4 linked regions of the Cricetulus griseus genome follow. The protein of the gene in region 1 interacts with the protein of each later gene in a biochemical or structural test. Links are inferred from orthologs where the notes say so. Each region holds a gene or a part of one and is shown on either strand. Other genes may lie near its edges.

What was found. The genes of interacting proteins can lie anywhere in the genome.
Region 2: the proteins of Pcna (region 1) and Poli form a complex in vitro, tested with the Homo sapiens proteins (4 studies listed by BioGRID, with this or other methods). The link is inferred for Cricetulus griseus from reciprocal best matches to the Homo sapiens genes PCNA and POLI.
Region 3: the proteins of Pcna (region 1) and Sprtn form a complex in vitro, tested with the Homo sapiens proteins (4 studies listed by BioGRID). The link is inferred for Cricetulus griseus from reciprocal best matches to the Homo sapiens genes PCNA and SPRTN.
Region 4: the proteins of Pcna (region 1) and Rfc1 form a complex in vitro, tested with the Homo sapiens proteins (5 studies listed by BioGRID, with this or other methods). The link is inferred for Cricetulus griseus from reciprocal best matches to the Homo sapiens genes PCNA and RFC1.

Annotation. Positions count from the first base shown.
Region 1 is NC_048599.1:46,331,522-46,335,603, reverse strand, and holds the start of Pcna (proliferating cell nuclear antigen), read right to left. Parts: upstream 2,809-4,082; 5' UTR 2,799-2,808; coding exon 2,578-2,798; intron 1,852-2,577; coding exon 1,754-1,851; intron 1,606-1,753; coding exon 1,538-1,605; intron 1,266-1,537; coding exon 1,071-1,265; intron 1-1,070. UniProt on the Homo sapiens protein: Auxiliary protein of DNA polymerase delta and epsilon, is involved in the control of eukaryotic DNA replication by increasing the polymerase's processibility during elongation of the leading strand.
Region 2 is NC_048595.1:169,048,670-169,052,655, reverse strand, and holds the start of Poli (DNA polymerase iota), read right to left. Parts: upstream 2,804-3,986; 5' UTR 2,780-2,803; coding exon 2,680-2,779; coding exon of another isoform or gene 2,678-2,679; intron 2,593-2,677; exon of another isoform or gene 1,343-2,592; coding exon 1,217-1,342; intron 1-1,216. UniProt on the Homo sapiens protein: Error-prone DNA polymerase specifically involved in DNA repair. Plays an important role in translesion synthesis, where the normal high-fidelity DNA polymerases cannot proceed and DNA synthesis stalls. Favors Hoogsteen base-pairing in the active site.
Region 3 is NC_048596.1:201,642,925-201,646,953, reverse strand, and holds the start of Sprtn (sprT-like domain-containing protein Spartan), read right to left. Parts: upstream 2,804-4,029; 5' UTR 2,498-2,803; coding exon 2,277-2,497; intron 2,269-2,276; exon of another isoform or gene 1,793-2,268; intron 1,600-1,792; coding exon 1,500-1,599; intron 567-1,499; coding exon 438-566; intron 1-437. Other genes in the region: Exoc8 (exocyst complex component 8), read left to right, coding at 3,020-4,029. UniProt on the Homo sapiens protein: DNA-dependent metalloendopeptidase that mediates the proteolytic cleavage of covalent DNA-protein cross-links (DPCs) during DNA synthesis, thereby playing a key role in maintaining genomic integrity.
Region 4 is NW_023276807.1:132,371,175-132,375,385, forward strand, and holds the start of Rfc1 (replication factor C subunit 1), read right to left. Parts: upstream 2,804-4,211; 5' UTR 2,672-2,803; coding exon of another isoform or gene 2,669-2,671; intron 1-2,668. UniProt on the Homo sapiens protein: Subunit of the replication factor C (RFC) complex which acts during elongation of primed DNA templates by DNA polymerases delta and epsilon, and is necessary for ATP-dependent loading of proliferating cell nuclear antigen (PCNA) onto primed DNA.

The DNA.
Region 1 (4,082 bases):
TCAATGTACAACACTCAACTCCCACCCCCAAAAGTAACCACGGCTGGCGAGATGACCCAACAGTTAATACTCGATGCTCTTCCACAACATCCAAGTTTGGTTCCCAGCACCCACATCCAGCAGCTCATAACCAACTCTAGTAACAAGAAGCAACAAGTTAAATGCAAGCTAAGGGACATGTTGACCAATTTTCATTTTATCAGGAATTTTTTTCAAGTCCCAATTCAAACTAAGGAAATAAGAAACATGTGAATACTGAAAACTTAATTTCCTTTGTTGTGGTAATGCTTATGCTTTAAACAAAATACTTATGAATTAAATACCTTGTGATCTGAGGATGACAGGTAAGTAGGAATAATTAAGCAGACAGATTAAGGTTAAGAACCAGCCCTATGGGTTGTGTATATATGTTCTAATCCTCAGTTATACAAGTTGCAGACAAAATAACATTAAACACTTTGTGTTAAGCACTCCGAATTTTACATTTAGCACTAAAAATCATATTTAGTTCAGACTGTGTCTGCAATTTATAGTCTGATGCTCAGACTAGCTGGCAAAACTTTTTAAAAAACTTAGTATAATTAAAAAGTTTTGACTTCTGAATATTTAGCAATTAGCCTAGTATCTTCTGCTTGAATGAGGCTTTCCAGGCATTTTTCCTTTGCCTTTCCAACATCTTCCTCATTTTTGAGGACTTTAAAACTTATCAACACTCAACTTTACTTAGTCTGCTTTTGCACCATTAAATGGGGTAGCACGTGAAAGTCCAACACAAAGCTACTTACTACAAGATCTACATGATCCCAACAGACTCACAACCCCAACCATTTTCTTCTGTTCACTTGTTAATGCTTATTTGTCAGTCATTCTAGGAAGCAAAAGCTTGGAAACACCTAGCTTCCCAGTCCCACCTGTGAAAGCATATATGCAGAGTGTGGAGTATCTAAGTTCAAAGACAGCCTGGTCTACTCACACTCCACCTCAAAAGAGCTAGGTCTGGAGAACCAGCTCAGCAGTTAAGCTTATATTCATTCCCCTTTCAGACACTGCAGACAACTTTTACTACTTACAGCTTCCTCCTCTTTATCAACATTACTTGTTTGTGACAACTTAATGTTTCCATTTCCAAGCTCTCCACTTGCAGAAAACTTCACCCCATCCTTTGCACAGGATATTACAACAGCATCTCCAATATGGCTAAGGTCTCGGCATATGCGCGCAAATTCACCAGAAGGCATCTTTACCACACAGCTGTACTCCTGTTCCTGTAAATCCCAAAGTTAAAGGTCAGAAGTGTGAGGACAAGTATCTGATTTCTTTAAAACTCAATTTTAGACTGTCATTGCTTAGTGAAATTGTCTTTCATTCCAAATACCCACTTTGGAACTCATCAGCTGGTATCACAGCTTGGTAAAATTCACCAGCGAAAACAGGATATTCTCCCAGCACTAAGGGGGCAGAGGCAGGCAGATCTCTGCTGAGTTTGAGTCTACAGAATGAGTTCAAAGACCACCAGAAACGAGAACAAGATACTCACAGGGATTCCAAGTTGCTCAACATCCAAGTCCATTAACTTCATTTCATAGTCTGAAACTTTCTCTTGATCTAACAAAAGGAAGCAAATGTTATTGAAGCACATGTTCATACCTATGGTGTAAAACTTTACAACCGCAATTCTGTTAATATCCTTAGTTTTGAGAAACAGATCATACTTTGCTTTCTGTAACAATTGAGTTTTAGAGGTGTAACTTACTTGGTGCTTCAAATACGAGTGCTAAAGTATCGGCATTATCTTCAGCCCTTAGTGTAATGATGTCTTCATTACCAGCACATTTTAGTATTTTGGACATGCTAGAAAACAAGAAGCAGGGCTTATCAACACCATGTGTTCAACATCTACTCTTTTAAAGGCAATTACAAGATGTTACCCTTTTACGCCCACACCAAATCCCCTGGGGGGGGGAGTAAACTATCGGGAATGTGATCCTTAAAACCACTCAAAGGCAATATGCCAGTAAATAATTTTTTGAGCAGGATGTCCTTGGTTTCCAGTGTATCAGAGTGTGCCCTATATCATATGTGGCCTTTTCACAAATCTTTTAAAACGTATACCGGTGGCAAATTCATGCATCTGTAACAAAGTTAAAAGCTAAGACTGGTAAATTTTCCCACAAATGATTCGCAATGAGATTCTAGACTCCAAGTAGAAAAGGCCTATTGTCCCTCTAAGTGGACAGTACCACATTTTCACCAGAACACGTTTAGTAGGCAGCTAAAATTAGCCAGGACAAGGTTGTGCCCTGAAATAAAAAAAGCTGCTGGCGTTTAATGAACTGATCTCCAACGCAGGCATTTTCCCGCCGGCACCCGTTTTGTGGCTTTGGCGCGGAAACAGCGGGTTCGCGCGGCCACCAGCGCGGGCTTTTCAGAACCGCGCGCTTCCTCGGGCTCCGCCCCCAGCTCCAGACACCAATCAGAAGGCGCGGATGACCACGTCAGCCAATGAGAGCACGGAGCCGGAGCCCCGCCAAGACCCGAGGCGGGAGGGCTAGAGCCCAGCTCCCGCCACCCGCTCACCTGGTGAGGTTCACGCCCATGGCTAGGTTGCGGTCGCAGCGGTATGTGTCGAAGCCTTCGGAGCGCAGAGTGAGCTGCACCAAGGAGACGTGCGACGAGTCCATGCTCTGCAGGTTCACGCCGCCCGAGCTGATGTCCCAGCAGGCCTCGTTGATGAGGTCTTTGAGAGCCTCCAACACCTTCTTCAGGATGGAGCCCTGAACCAGGCGAGCCTCGAACATCCTGGCGGAGTCGCGACGACTAGATACTAGAGACTGTGACAGGAGAGAGGGCCGGCCGCGAAGGTCTCCCGGCTCGCGATGCAGAAGTGGCAGCGAGGACCCGCAGGGAGCGACTACCAACTTGGGCGCCCGCAACCGTTTTTATGCTGCCGCTTCCTAGGCGCGCGCTCTTTCCGTGCGCGAGAGTTGCGACGTCACCGCGCTGCCCCACCCACCTTCCCCTCAGAACCAATCGTATCCGAGTCCCGCGCAAGGCCCGCCCTGCCGCGTACACAGAGGCGGGGCTGCGGCGTACGGGCGTGGGAAGCGTGGGGCATTATGGGATCCGCGGAGGCCCACCTTTTGGAGGAGGCTTGTCCCGGCAAGTTTCCGCGCCACGGAAATGAAAGTCACGTGCAAGCCGAGCTGCGCCGGGAGGCGCGGGTCGGGGGTTGGGAGGGGTGGGGTGCAGGGCTGCCTGAAGTCGAAAAGTATACCTGTTTCAAACACTACAGAGCGCTTTTGCTACTGCGTAGGCGAAAACGCTGCAAAATACCGAGTAAGGAAGGAGCCACCACATCTTAACCCCGGTTTTCTATCACTTCACTGTGTTGGGCGCTCTGAACTTTCCTCCCTAAAGATTAAAGAGTTCCTTCTTGCCGTGAACACTTCTGCAAAGAACCCCAAAGTATGACTATCTCTTAAGATACATAATCCATAGGTCCCACCTAATTAGTTCCCTGTTACGCCTCTTTCCCTAGCCTGAACCCCATCTAGGCTGGAGATGAACCCAGGGCCTAGAGGCTAAGCACCAATAACTTCATGTTAAAATCAATACCCATTCCTGAAAATGTCAGCCATTACAGGTGCATGTGTTCCTGCTGCGTTTTGTTCTACTGAAATTTCTTTTTCCTGTTGATTATAAGGGTGGGGGAAACTGAATGCAGGTGGTGGACACCAGCTACAAACGGATGTAAAGCTATTTTTTTTTTTAATTTCTAATGTTTCTTCTCTTTGTTTTGTTTTGGTGATGGATAAAATATGTTTGATGCCGAAAGTGTAAAATATTAATGTGAAAGTCCACAGTTTCTATTTCAAATGCCTCTTTTTGTTTGTTTGTTTGTTTGTTTTGTTTTGCTTTTTTCGAGACAGTGTTTCTCTGTGGCTTTGGAGGCTGTCCTGGAACTAGCTCTTATAGACCAGGCTGGTCTCAAACTCACAGAGATTCACCTGCCTCTGCCTCCAGAGTGCTGGGACTAAAGGTGTATGCCACCACTGCCTTCCTAACATTGGGACCCGGCTGGG
Region 2 (3,986 bases), on another chromosome or scaffold:
AAATATTGGTTGCTGCTAGAAAAACTCATTTATCCTCTGAGCAAACTGCCAGTGAATATGAACAATATTCTAGCAGCCAAACTATAACAGTCATGAAAGATCTTGTCCCATTAAGTACCCTAAGTAATGAACTATATACAGCTTATAATAATTTGTAGTTTTACCAAGAGGAATTATTTTGGGCTTCCTTTTGAAACTGACAATATTATGACCACCTATAGAATACATTCTTTAAAAATTGCCAGGCATTTAAGATTGCTAAAATTATTCCCTTTTCTCTTTTTACTCAAGTTGATTGCTTCATCACAATGTAAGTCATATTCATCTGCAATTCGTAGATGAATATATGGAAAAGAAAAACCTATACCCATTCTTGCTGCATATTTTTAAATCTGACATTCTAAGACAAATCAAAATCAGTTTGCTGATACATTTTTCATATATTTGATAATGAAAGTTGAAAAAGGCCTGACTGGTAACTCCTTAGCTAAAAGGGCTCCCCACAGCAGATCTTGGCCTGAGCTGCTTGCACATTTATCAATAAAAGCTGGCTAAGCACTCACACTCCTCAGTTCACAGTAACTACTTAATAACTACTTCTTAATCACACAAAGTAAAAACTGGGCAGCTGTGCTAACTAGAAATGTTTTCAGAAGGGAAAAAAAATAAAAAACCTGACCCCCTAATTTAAATCTTTGACCTCTTGGGAAAGTTTAAAGATTTAGCTTCATCTTAGAGAACTAAAACCTAGTCATTCCTTTGTTCTTGAGGAAATCAACGGGATGGACTGTGATTTATAAAACTGAGGCAGGCACAAGATGAAAGCAACAAGGAAACAAACACTGTCCTTTGTGTTTAAACTAAAAGACGTGCTTCCTATATGCATGAATGAAAAGCTGTTTTCCTTAAAGTGCATGCCTACAGAAGTGAGCTACATCCAAGAGCTTGTTATGTGCCTACCAAAGGAAGCTGCTTCATCTACTAAGAACTCATTCTGGTTCCTGTGCACACACTACCTATGCTCATGTGGTCACATTTATTAAAGGGACAAGACATGGTACATTTACTCTTGGTAGCAAAGCAAATATGACTGCCAACCAAGTTCCTAAAACAGTCTACAAAAACTGTCTTCGAATGGTTAATAAATCAGAAAAATAAATCATACTTGAGGCTAATTTTATCATCACCCAACAAAGATCCCATCAATGTGGATTACCTAAAGGTTTGTCCTTTAATTCTGGATTGGAGATCATTTCTACTTGGGCATAAAAGCAATCCAGGTCCACATGTACTATGACTCTGGATGAAGAGATTTGTGTTGGCACCCCTTGATCGAAAACTGCTGCATAATACACAAAGGAAAACAAATGTATTCAGGCTGCTTATCATCAGGGAGCAACTAACAGATCCTTAAAACATTTTATCTGAAAAAGGATGGACAGTGGCTTAAAGAGTTTTTCCCCCTTGGATTTTATGACATGCCAGATGCCAACCGTTTAGATGCCCCCAGTATCTACAAATCATAAAGACATGAAACTCCATCAGCAAAAAGGCCTTCAGTCCTTTTTGATTAGCATGTCTTCAGGTACTACACACCCCCACACACACACCTCAGAGTAGTTAATTTAAGGGGAAACTCTTGATCAATAATGAATGGCACAAAAGCTGGTACTATCCTGTCTTTTAGAAATTTTTAAATAATAAATTGTAGCAATGTTATTTTCAACCAACTTGAGCATTACTCCAAGCAGCCTGTCCCTACATTTATAAAAAATAAATCAAACTGGCACAGCACAACCTGTGGGTTCCAGGACACTAAATTTGGCTCCCATGAGAGTACAATTTCCTGTTCTGAAGTCCCCAGTGCCTAGAACAGTGCCTGGGGCGCAACAGACAACAAATAATTAACCACTGAGTTGAAAACCTGGTTATCTAATTTTAAAAACTAGGGTCAGGGCTGTACCTGATATCCTAGGGCCAATGAGTAAATTGTATATATTATGGGTGGTAAAGGAGGCAATAGGAACAATTCCCTTCTTTCGTTACCAACAAAGCAGCCTAAATGCAACCCTGGGCTAGGAAAAGCACACTGGTAGGAAAATGACAAATTATGAATATAGTGTGTCTTTCCGTAAATGGGAATTAGTTGTGTACCTACTTTAATTTTGAAGTTTTGATATATGTACCAAGGAGATATTAGAGATATTGATATTAGAGAAATAGCATTTATGCCATAACTTTTCTGTTCATTGAGGGTAGGAGGGTGGGGATGTTAGTGAGTTTCTGGCTCCACAAGGCCGGACCACAGGCTGGGGTAGATGTGGGTCACCTAGGGACTCCAGCCTGCTTGCTAGATTAGGGGCCATCCTTTCCTACCTGGGCTGAGGCCAGGTCTCTACACCTAAATGGACAAGGTCCTCCTATTCTCCGAATTGGAGCCACCGGAAGCATCAGGAGTTCCCCTTGGGAGGTCAGTAAAGACTGCCCGCCCAGGAGACAGGTGCACCCCACTCATGTGTGCAGGAATGCAGGGTCGCCCAAGCGTGCAGAAGCCGGCGCAGAGCGCCCGCACTCTCCAGACCCGAGGGGGACCAGGAGGCCGCGCCCCAACGACCGCCCCGGGCGCCCGCCCTTCCCACCCTTCCCTTCCTTTCCCGCCATCACCCGGACGGCGCACACCCAGCGAGCTGCCAGCCGCCCCCGCGTCCAAGGGCTCCATGGCGCGAGCAGCGTCTTCTTCCTCCACGGGGCCGCCTTCTTCCTCCAACTCCACCCCCATCTTCACCGGTGGCCAACCGCGGAGCAGCTGCTGCACGGTCTCCTAGGAAACCACGGCCCAGCCTCCAGCCTCACGCCTGCGCACTCGAGCGGAACCGCCTGAGTGGCAGAGGACAGGAGAAGCGGAAGGACCTTTGCAACCTGGTTGAGGTCCTTAAAGTAGAGGAAGAAGAACCCGAATGCCCTTTCCCTTTTTTCTTCTCTCTTCTTTATTTTTTTTTTAAATTATTAACGTATATGTGAGAATACATGCTATGTGAGTGCTAGTGCCCTCAAAAGCCGGCAAAGAGCATTGGACCCCTAAAACTGGAGTTAATCGGTGGTTGTGAGCCCCTTGTTTCTGGGAACTGATCTTGGGTTCTGTGGAAGAGCAGCAAGTACTCTCACCTCTGAGAAATCTCTTTAGCTCCATTCTTCTCTTTTATCGATTTAGTTTTCTCTGAAGGCTTCCGTGTTCTGCTCATACCTAAAATTTCAATTTTTTAAGTATATTTGCTGTCTGATGATTTGTTAGCAAAACCGCTATAACCCCTAAATCTGAGTGATTTGTGTTGATGGGACTGGGAAAGGGTATGAATGATATTAAGACCGAGGTAACCAGGTAAAGACATGATTAACAAGAATGTTTGTTGAGTTTTATTTAAAGAGACTCTAATAATAATGAGTGGGTTTTGACACATTAGCTTTGGGTCATAAAGTCGCCATTCCAGACTCTGATTTTGCTGACATAACTTTAAGTATGTTGTGTAACTGCTCTGAGCCTGCACTGTAAAAACAAACAAAACAGACAAACACACTCTCGATTACATAAATGGAGGTAAAACAACATAGTTTAATGTCTACAAAGCAACTGGCATATTAGGAGCTCAGTGTATCCCTGTCTTTTCGTGGGGTGCATGTTTGCCTGTATGTTGATATTTGTGTGTATGGATGTTTTCCAATATGTTCTGGCGGAAGCTCCACTTCAAACCCCTTCCCCCACCTCTCTCTCCAAACCCTGCTGCCTCTCAGTAAGGCAGCCAAGTGATGACCCCTCCCCCAGAGATGCTCAAGACCACTCCCACAGGGTATTTAAACTGCCCCTCAGAAAACAGACATATGGGGTTTTGGGTTTTTTTTATTTTATTTTTGTATTGTTTGGTTTTTGTGTGTTTGATTGGTTGGATTTTTGTTTTTGTTTTTGTTTTGGTCTCTCTTCACCGGCTCCT
Region 3 (4,029 bases), on another chromosome or scaffold:
ATACCTCAGCCTTGGCTGTGATATCTCCTCCAATACTGCACTGTCAGGACTCAAAGAACTTCTGATAAGGGACTGTCACACATGTGTGAGAAGCTCCTCCTGAAGGTCCAGAAAAGTGTAATGCAGAACCAAAGGAGCATGCCTCAAATGCTGATCTGGAGTTGTTGGAGGCCTCAAGGAAAAGGACTGCTGGCTCTGTAGCTACTCTACCTCTAGCGCCTAGACAAGTCCATTCATTTCTGTAGGATTCTTATTCAAGGCTGAAAAATCTTCACTTTTACTGAATGAATCTAAGTATAACTTTGAATGGCTGCTGGGCTTGGTGGCACAAACCTATAAGCTCAGTACTTAGGAGGCTGAGTTAGAATTTGCAAGTTTGAGGACAGTCTGGTTTACTGTTTTGCCCTTGCTCCCAAAACATGTGTAGCTTAGTGTACCGTTATGTTGGCTCCTGTCAGTTGGTTGATTCGATGCATATGTTTACAGAACTCTGGGCCATGTCCTTCCCGGTCTTTATCATTATTAGTGACAAATAAGTAGGCATGTATCATTTCATGCAAAAGAGTCTGAAACAGAAAACCAGAAAATTAATTTTCTAGGGCATGTCTGAAGATGAAAACGCTTTCTTAACTTGGGGTCTGTAGGCCCAAGTACACAAAACGTTGCATATACTATTTCAACCTCTGCAGATCCCAGTAAGACAAACTCCCTTCGAGGAATTACAATTGCTCAAAAAAGCCCTATTTATCTACCAACTCAATATGAATCCAACCACATAAAAACTTTAAAGTTCTGGTAGAGAAACCCACCGCAAGCAAAGTCAAAAGATAATTCTGACAACTCTGCAACACGTATCACAAGCTCTGAAATTTGAACATACGGGGCTCGTGATGCCAACACCAAAAGAGCGAATAGCCCAGGTCTAAATGGGCACAAAGCTAAGTATATGCTGGGCATGACACACACCTGTGATCCCAGCACTCAAGGTGGAGGCAGAAGGATCAGGAGTTTGAGACCAGTTTGGCAGCACCAGACTCTACCCCCCTAAAAACAGCTGGGTTCATGCATGCCAGCTCACTGAGGAAGCTGAAGCAAGAGAATCATATAAGACCAGGGCCAACCTGGCAAACAGACTGTCTCTTAAAACTCAATAAAATGTCCTGGCCAGGAATGGTAGTGCACAGCTGTAAAAACCCAACCCTCAGAGCTGAGGCAAGAGGATCTTGAGGTTGAAGCCAGCCTGGACTACTATCAAGATCCTGTCTTTAATTTTTTAAAAAGGCCTGGGCAGTGGTGGAACACACCTTCAATCCCAGCACTTAGGAGGCAAGACGGGTGGATCTTTGTGAGCTCAAGAGGCCAGTCTGGTCTACAGACAGAGTTCTAGGAGACCCAGGGCTGCACAGAGAAGCCCTGTCTCAAAAAACAAAAAAAAAAAAAAAAAAAAAAAAAATTCCTGCAAATCACTGAGCTGAGAACTAGGGTTATGGAAAGAATACCTCTACAAGGTCCTTTCTTGGTCTCAGTTTTAGAAGAGGTTCACTGAGACGGATGGAGCACATTCCTCCTCTTCCTTCATAGGTGCAAATCCCAGCACACCTGGAAAGCAGTCACAACAGTGGATTAGATTCACCAAGAACAGTGGAGACGGATCAAAAAGTAAAATCCTAGCCTGTCGTGGGGGAGCACTATGGAGGCAGAGGCAGTCAGATCTCTGAATTCCGGGCCAGCCAGGGATACTCAGTGAAGCCCTGTCTCAAAAACAAAACAAAAAACATGAGCAAATCCTTACCGGTTCTAGTGCAGTTCAGAGGAAAGAGTCCCTGATGGGATACGGCTTTCCTGAGTGGGACACTTGGAATGCAGGCAGTAACGCTTGCTCACCCTCACCCACTCTGCTCCACACAGGCATTCATCAGCAGGGAATGGTTTAGCGCCCACGTCTGCCCGGATACTTCTCCAAAAGGGTCATAGGGTTGGTGTGAAGTTAGACGGACGCTACATACTACATCTCGCCCTGCTTTACTGCAGGCTGCTTTCTTTCTATGTGACGGTGTAAGTGAAGGGCAGATTACTATTTCGAATGGGATTTCTCAAATTCAATGGGTAGAAAAGGAATCCTGTTGGTACATCACTGAGGGCCGTTAGGCCCGGCCCACTCTGGAATATAGGCACGTCTCCAGTGACCTTTCCCTCCACCGCGAGGCGGGGACACCAACGACAACTCAGCGGCCTCGCCCTTCCCTACGTTCCGAGCCGTTCGTGGGCGCACTCACAGTGTCATGCGCACACTCCACTTCACTTCCACCGCCTCTAGCTGACCCCAAAAGAAGCGGTCGTTAAACTGCAAGAAGAGCGCCTGCAGGTCCGGGGTGGGGTCCACCAGCTCCCAGGACGCATCCACCAACGACACGGACTCCCGCGCCGCCGCGCGCCGTGCCACCTGCACGTCCCACTCCTCCTGCAGTCGCAGCGCAACCACCAGATCCTCGTCCATCGCGCCACTCCCGCCCAAGCTACTCCGAAGACGCCGGCGGTGCTCGCGCAGCGCACTGGTCTCGCGAGAGCTCCGGGCCCGGCTGTCAAGTGCGCGAGGGCTCGCCTCGAATGCCTAACCGAAAGTGGCTCTGAGCCGCCCCGCGGGCACAGGCTTAGGAACGCGGGGCTCGGGCTAGGGAAGGCTCCAGGAAGCCGGTTGTCTCCTGAACGCCCCTGAAGTTCAGCACCTCACGTCAAGTCTGGTCCGCGCCCGAGCCTCTTGACTTCCGTACTGGCTGGTCCGCGCACGCGCCGTAAGTCGCTGCCGCTTTTCGCGCAGGCGCGCCGTCGGCACTCCGCCCCTGGCGCAGGCGCAGTAGGAGAGTCTCGACTCTAGCACAGGCGCAATGCAGCGCTCAGCCCCGGCGCAGGCGTTTGGGTGTTGCTCCCGCCCCGCTTCCTCAGCGGTCTTCTCCGCCGGGCTCGGGTGGGGCCGGACGGCGGCGAGTGACAGCGACCGCGAACTGCGGGAGGAGGACGGATGTCAGCCATGTCCGACAGCGGGGCGAGCCGCCTGCGAAGGCAGCTGGAGTCTGGGGGCTTCGAGGCGCGGCTGTACGTGAAGCAGCTGTCGCAACAGTCGGACGGCGACCGCGACCTGCAGGAACACCGACAGCGGGTGCAGGCGCTGGCGGAGGAGACGGCACAGAACCTGAAGCGCAACGTCTATCAAAACTACCGGCAGTTCATCGAGACGGCGCGCGAGATCTCGTACCTGGAGAGCGAAATGTATCAGCTGAGCCACCTGCTGACAGAGCAGAAGAGCAGTCTAGAGAGCATTCCGCTGGCACTGCTGCCCGCCGCCGCCGCGGGAGCCTCCACGGGTGAGGACACGGCGGGCGCGGGGCCGCGGGAGCGCGGGGCGGCCCAGGCAGGCTTCTTGCCCGGGTCGACGGGCGTCCCCCGCGAGGGCCCTGGTATGGGCGAGGAGGGCAAGCAACGCACGCTCACCACGCTGCTGGAGAAGGTAGAGGGCTGCAGGGACCTGCTGGACACGCCAGGCCAGTACCTGGTGTACAACGGGGACCTGGTGGAGTACGAGGCGGACCACATGGCCCAGCTGCAGCGCGTGCACGGCTTCCTCATGAACGATTGTCTGCTGGTGGCTACCTGGCTGCCACAGCGGCGAGGCATGTACCGCTATAACGCTCTTTACCCGCTGGACCGCCTGGCGGTGGTCAACGTCAAGGACAACCCACCGATGAAAGACATGTTCAAGCTTCTCATGTTCCCCGAGAGCCGCATCTTTCAGGCAGAAAATGCCAAGATTAAACGCGAGTGGCTGGAAGTGCTGGAGGAAACCAAGAGGGCGCTCAGTGACAAGAGGAGGAGGGAGCAGGAGGAGGCAGCGGCCCCTCGTGCGCCACCACCAGTGACTTCCAAGGGCAGCAACCCCTTTGAGGATGAGGATGAGGAAGAGCTGGCCACCCCCGAGGTGGAGGAGGAAAAGGTAGACCTCTCCATGGAGTGGATCCAGGAGTTGCCCGAAGA
Region 4 (4,211 bases), on another chromosome or scaffold:
AAGGAAGGAAGGAAGGAAGGAAGGAAGGAAGGAAGGAAGGAAGGAAAATAGAAACCAAGAAATTAATCTACTTGCTGGGTCCAGTGTTTCACACCAGTAATTCCAGCACTTGAAAGGCTGAGGCAAGAGTCACACAAGTTAATCTATTGTATAGGACCTGGTAACTACTAAGTATATTAACATACTAACTGTTATCTATTAAATCAAGACAAAAACCCCAAAATCTCATCAACTTTCCACAATACCAAGACACCTAAATTCCAAAATGCAACAATGATAATCATTTTAGGAGGCAGAATAATGTAGTGGTCAGAAATGTCTAGGTTCTAGTTCAAGCTCAGCTAGTATGACAATCTGTTTAAAAGGTATCTTCTGCAGGGCGTTGATGGCACTCACCTTTAATCCCAGCACTCAGGAGGCAGAGGCAGGCGGATCTCTGTGAGTTCAAGTCCAGCCTGGTCTACAAGAGCTAGTTCCAGGACAGCCTCCAAAGCCACTGGGAAACCCTGTCTCGAGAAAAAAAAAAAAAGTGTCTTCACTGTCTATAAAATTGAATTGTAGAGTACCTAGAAGCTGAGGCAGGATCTATATACTTATCATGTAAATAGATCAGACCAACTTGTTCTATATACACTGTAAGATCAAGGCCTGATATAAACCATTACCCAAAATCTTCCTTCAAAACAATAAACTTGGAGCTGAGCATGACATTAATCCCAGGACTCGGGAAGCAGAGTCAGGAGCATTTCTGTGAGTTCAAGGCCAGCCTGGTCTACATAATAAGCTCTGGAACATCCAGAACTATATAGAGAAAATCTGTCTCAAAAAACAAAAACAATAAACTTGAGAGGCTTGAGACATGATTCAGTGATTAACTTGCAACTCTTGCAGAGGACCTGGGTTCAGTTTCTAGCACCCACATGATGGTTCACAGTTATCTATGACTCCAGTTCCAACAGATCCAATTATCTCTTCTGATCCTTTTTTTTTTCTTTTTTGGGAGGGGGGTGGGGTTTGAGACAGGGTTTCTCTATGGCTTTGGAGACTCTCCTGCTCTTGTAGACCAGGCTGGTCTCGAACTCACAGAGATCTGCCAACCTCTGCCTCCCAAGTGCTGGGATTAAAGGCGTGTACCACCACGACTACTGGGTTCTTCTGATCTTGGGACCAGGGCTGCATGTGATGTACAGACACGCACACATAGCACTCATACACATAAAGTAAGTAATTTTCAAATGAACTGGAGGGCCGTGACTGGAGAGATGGCTCAGTAGTTAGAGTACTGGCTGCTCTTTCAGGAGACCTAAGTTTAATTCCTAACACCCACAACCACCTATAACTCCAGCTCCAGAGAATTAGACACCCTCTTCAGGCCTGGGACAGCACTAGGCATGCATGTTCACAGAAATCTATTTAGGCAAAACATACACATTACAAACTAAATAGAAAAATTAATGAACATGGAGCTTGGAGAGATGGCTCTGTGACCAAGAGGGTATACTGTTCTTGCAGAGGACCTGAATTCCATAACTAACACCCACAAGCAGCTCAAAACCAGCTGTAACTCCAGCTCCAGGGGACCCCACACCCTCTTCTGGATGTCATGGAACACGTGTGCATACACAAACACAGACACACATATATATAAATATACACTAAAATAGTCTTTTTTTTTTCAAAAAAGCACTTTAAATGAATTTTTAGAAGGTATTTAAAGCAAACAACTCACATATTAACCTGAAAAAAAGGCTTTGTGGCTTACTATCCTTTTTCCCATAAACAACAGAGAGCTGAAATTTTTCCCAATTTGGTGTAACACTTTTCCCCCTTGAATGCTGGCATTCTGAAGAATGCTCAATAACAAGCTGCTGAAGAATGCTGAAAAATAACAGAAAAATATACGTATATATGATTGTTAAATGTCTTCTAGATTAACTGAACATCTTCGGTTGTCCTTTAAAAGTTATTTCAAATATGCATCTGTCTCCTATGCCTGCTGCTATTTCACTTTCGAGCTGTTTGAATGTTCATTATACAGAATTATGTACTGAAGTTGGGACTGAGGGGGCTTTTTTTAAAAAACTTTTTTTAACAGGTGATAAGAAATGACAGCTGTCAAATACATAACATCCCTCTGTACCGGCTGTGTTTTTTTTTGTTTTTTTTTTTTTTTAATCCCTGGTAAACCAGATTATCTGTTCAGTTCCTATAAATTAGTCTAAACGAAGTTAAGGCAACTTCCTGTGTCATCAGCTCTCAAAACAGCTGAGACGCGCTTCAGGAGAAAGCTGATTAAAGCTGGAGGCCCGAGCAACTTCTCCCTAAGAAAGCAAAGTGTTACATTCTTCTCGCAAAGCTTGAAGTCGCGGCCTTAGGACACATTCCAACTGAGATTTGGGACAGTGCTGAACACGAAAGTAACTTTTAACACCGGGTCCAAATCGGCGTTCCTCTTCCTGCCTCCCTTCCCCCAAGAGTCGGGGTGGAGTGTGAAAGTGCCGCGTAGCAGCCACATCCCTTGCACGCTGCGTCCGCGGTGCGCCCCGCACCCTAAGCGGGCCCCTCGGAGCACCCTGCGCCGTCCTCCCCACCCCGCAACGCGGCGAAGCCCCCGTCCACACCCGGCCTGCAAAGCCTCTGGAGCTGCTCGGCCTCCCGGGCGGCTCACCATCGCAGCCCCAAGACCGAAGAGGAACAGGTGGGCAGGCCCGCGGCTGGGGGAATCCGTTATCAGGGCTCGGGATCCATTGGCGCCAACAACTTCTCCCGCGAAGTGGCAGAAGCGCAGGCGGCGGCGCGCGACGATGACGTCAGGAGGCGCGCGCTTCCCGCGGCCCCGCCCCGAGGCGGGAGTTGCGCGCTGGGTGCAGGACCGCCCCGGCGACAGGAGGATTGCTACCTCTCTAGGGTACAGTGTGCGCTTGCGATCGCGACCCGGACGCCCAATCTGGCTGGCTTCCTCTAAGGCAGGTTCCCAGGTGCCTTCCTTCCGTGTACACGTGCAGCAAGGGCAGTGCTCTGTAGGAATTTCCAAGTCTTACTCCCACCCTCAATAAAATGAAATGTATTCTACGCACTGCACACATCAACTGTTCCCATCAACCTTTACTCTGATCTGTTTTATTTTCCTTTTAATGTTTGACCTATTGATTTTGTGTCACACTAAGAGACCCATAGTTTAAAAACTCCCAGGATGAAGGACAAATATTTATTACTTTTTACACGTTTATTTATTGGCAGTGGAGTTCACCAGCGGCGGTCAAAGAAAAGCTTGCGAGAGCCTTTCCGCCACGAGAGTACATGTTTGTATTAAAGAGACTGTTCACATTAAAGGAATGCTTACATTAAGTTTTGTTGTTTTGAGGCTCTCGTGTGTCCCATCCAGGTCTCAAACTCCCTATGTAGTTGAATATGAGCTTGAACTAATGATTTTTCTGCGGCCTCCCAAGAACTGAGATTTCATATATATTCCAGGCTGGAGAAATGGCTCAGTGGTTAAGAGCACCGACTGCTCTTCCAGAGGTTCTGAGTTCAATTCCCAGCAACCACATGGTGGCTCACAACCATCCATTATAAGATCTGGTGCCCTCTTCTGGTGTACAGATGTACATGGAAGCAGAAAGTACATGGAAGCAGAATTATACATAATAAATAAAGTCCCTTAAAAAAAAGATTTCATATATATTCCAACATGCCTGGTTTATGCAGTGCAAGGGATCAAACTCAGAACTACTATGAAAGAATGTGAGCAACCCCCAGCCCCAACAGCTCTTTGACCTAAAACTACCATGCTACGAAAACTAGCCCCTTAATTCCTAAAGCTTCAATAAGTCGCTTAAAGAATAGTGAAGTAGGGCTGGAGAGATGAGGAGGCCTTTAAAGGCTAGGCTCACAACCAAAAATATAAGAATAGTGAAGTAGCCGGGCAGAGGTGGCACATGCCTTTAGTCCCAGCACGAGGCATTGGCAGGCAAATCTCTGAGTTTGAGGCCTGCCTGGTCTACAGTGTGAATTCCAGGACAGCTCACAAAGAGACGCTTTTTCTCAAAACAAAACAAAGAAAAGGAAAGAATAGTGAAGTCCACTGGGCAATAGTGAGGCATAACTTTGATCTGAGCACTGAGGAGGCAGAGGCAGGCAGATCTATGAGTTTGAGGCAGTTCCAGTCTACAAAGTGACTTCTAGGACAGCCAAAGCTTCATAGAGAAACT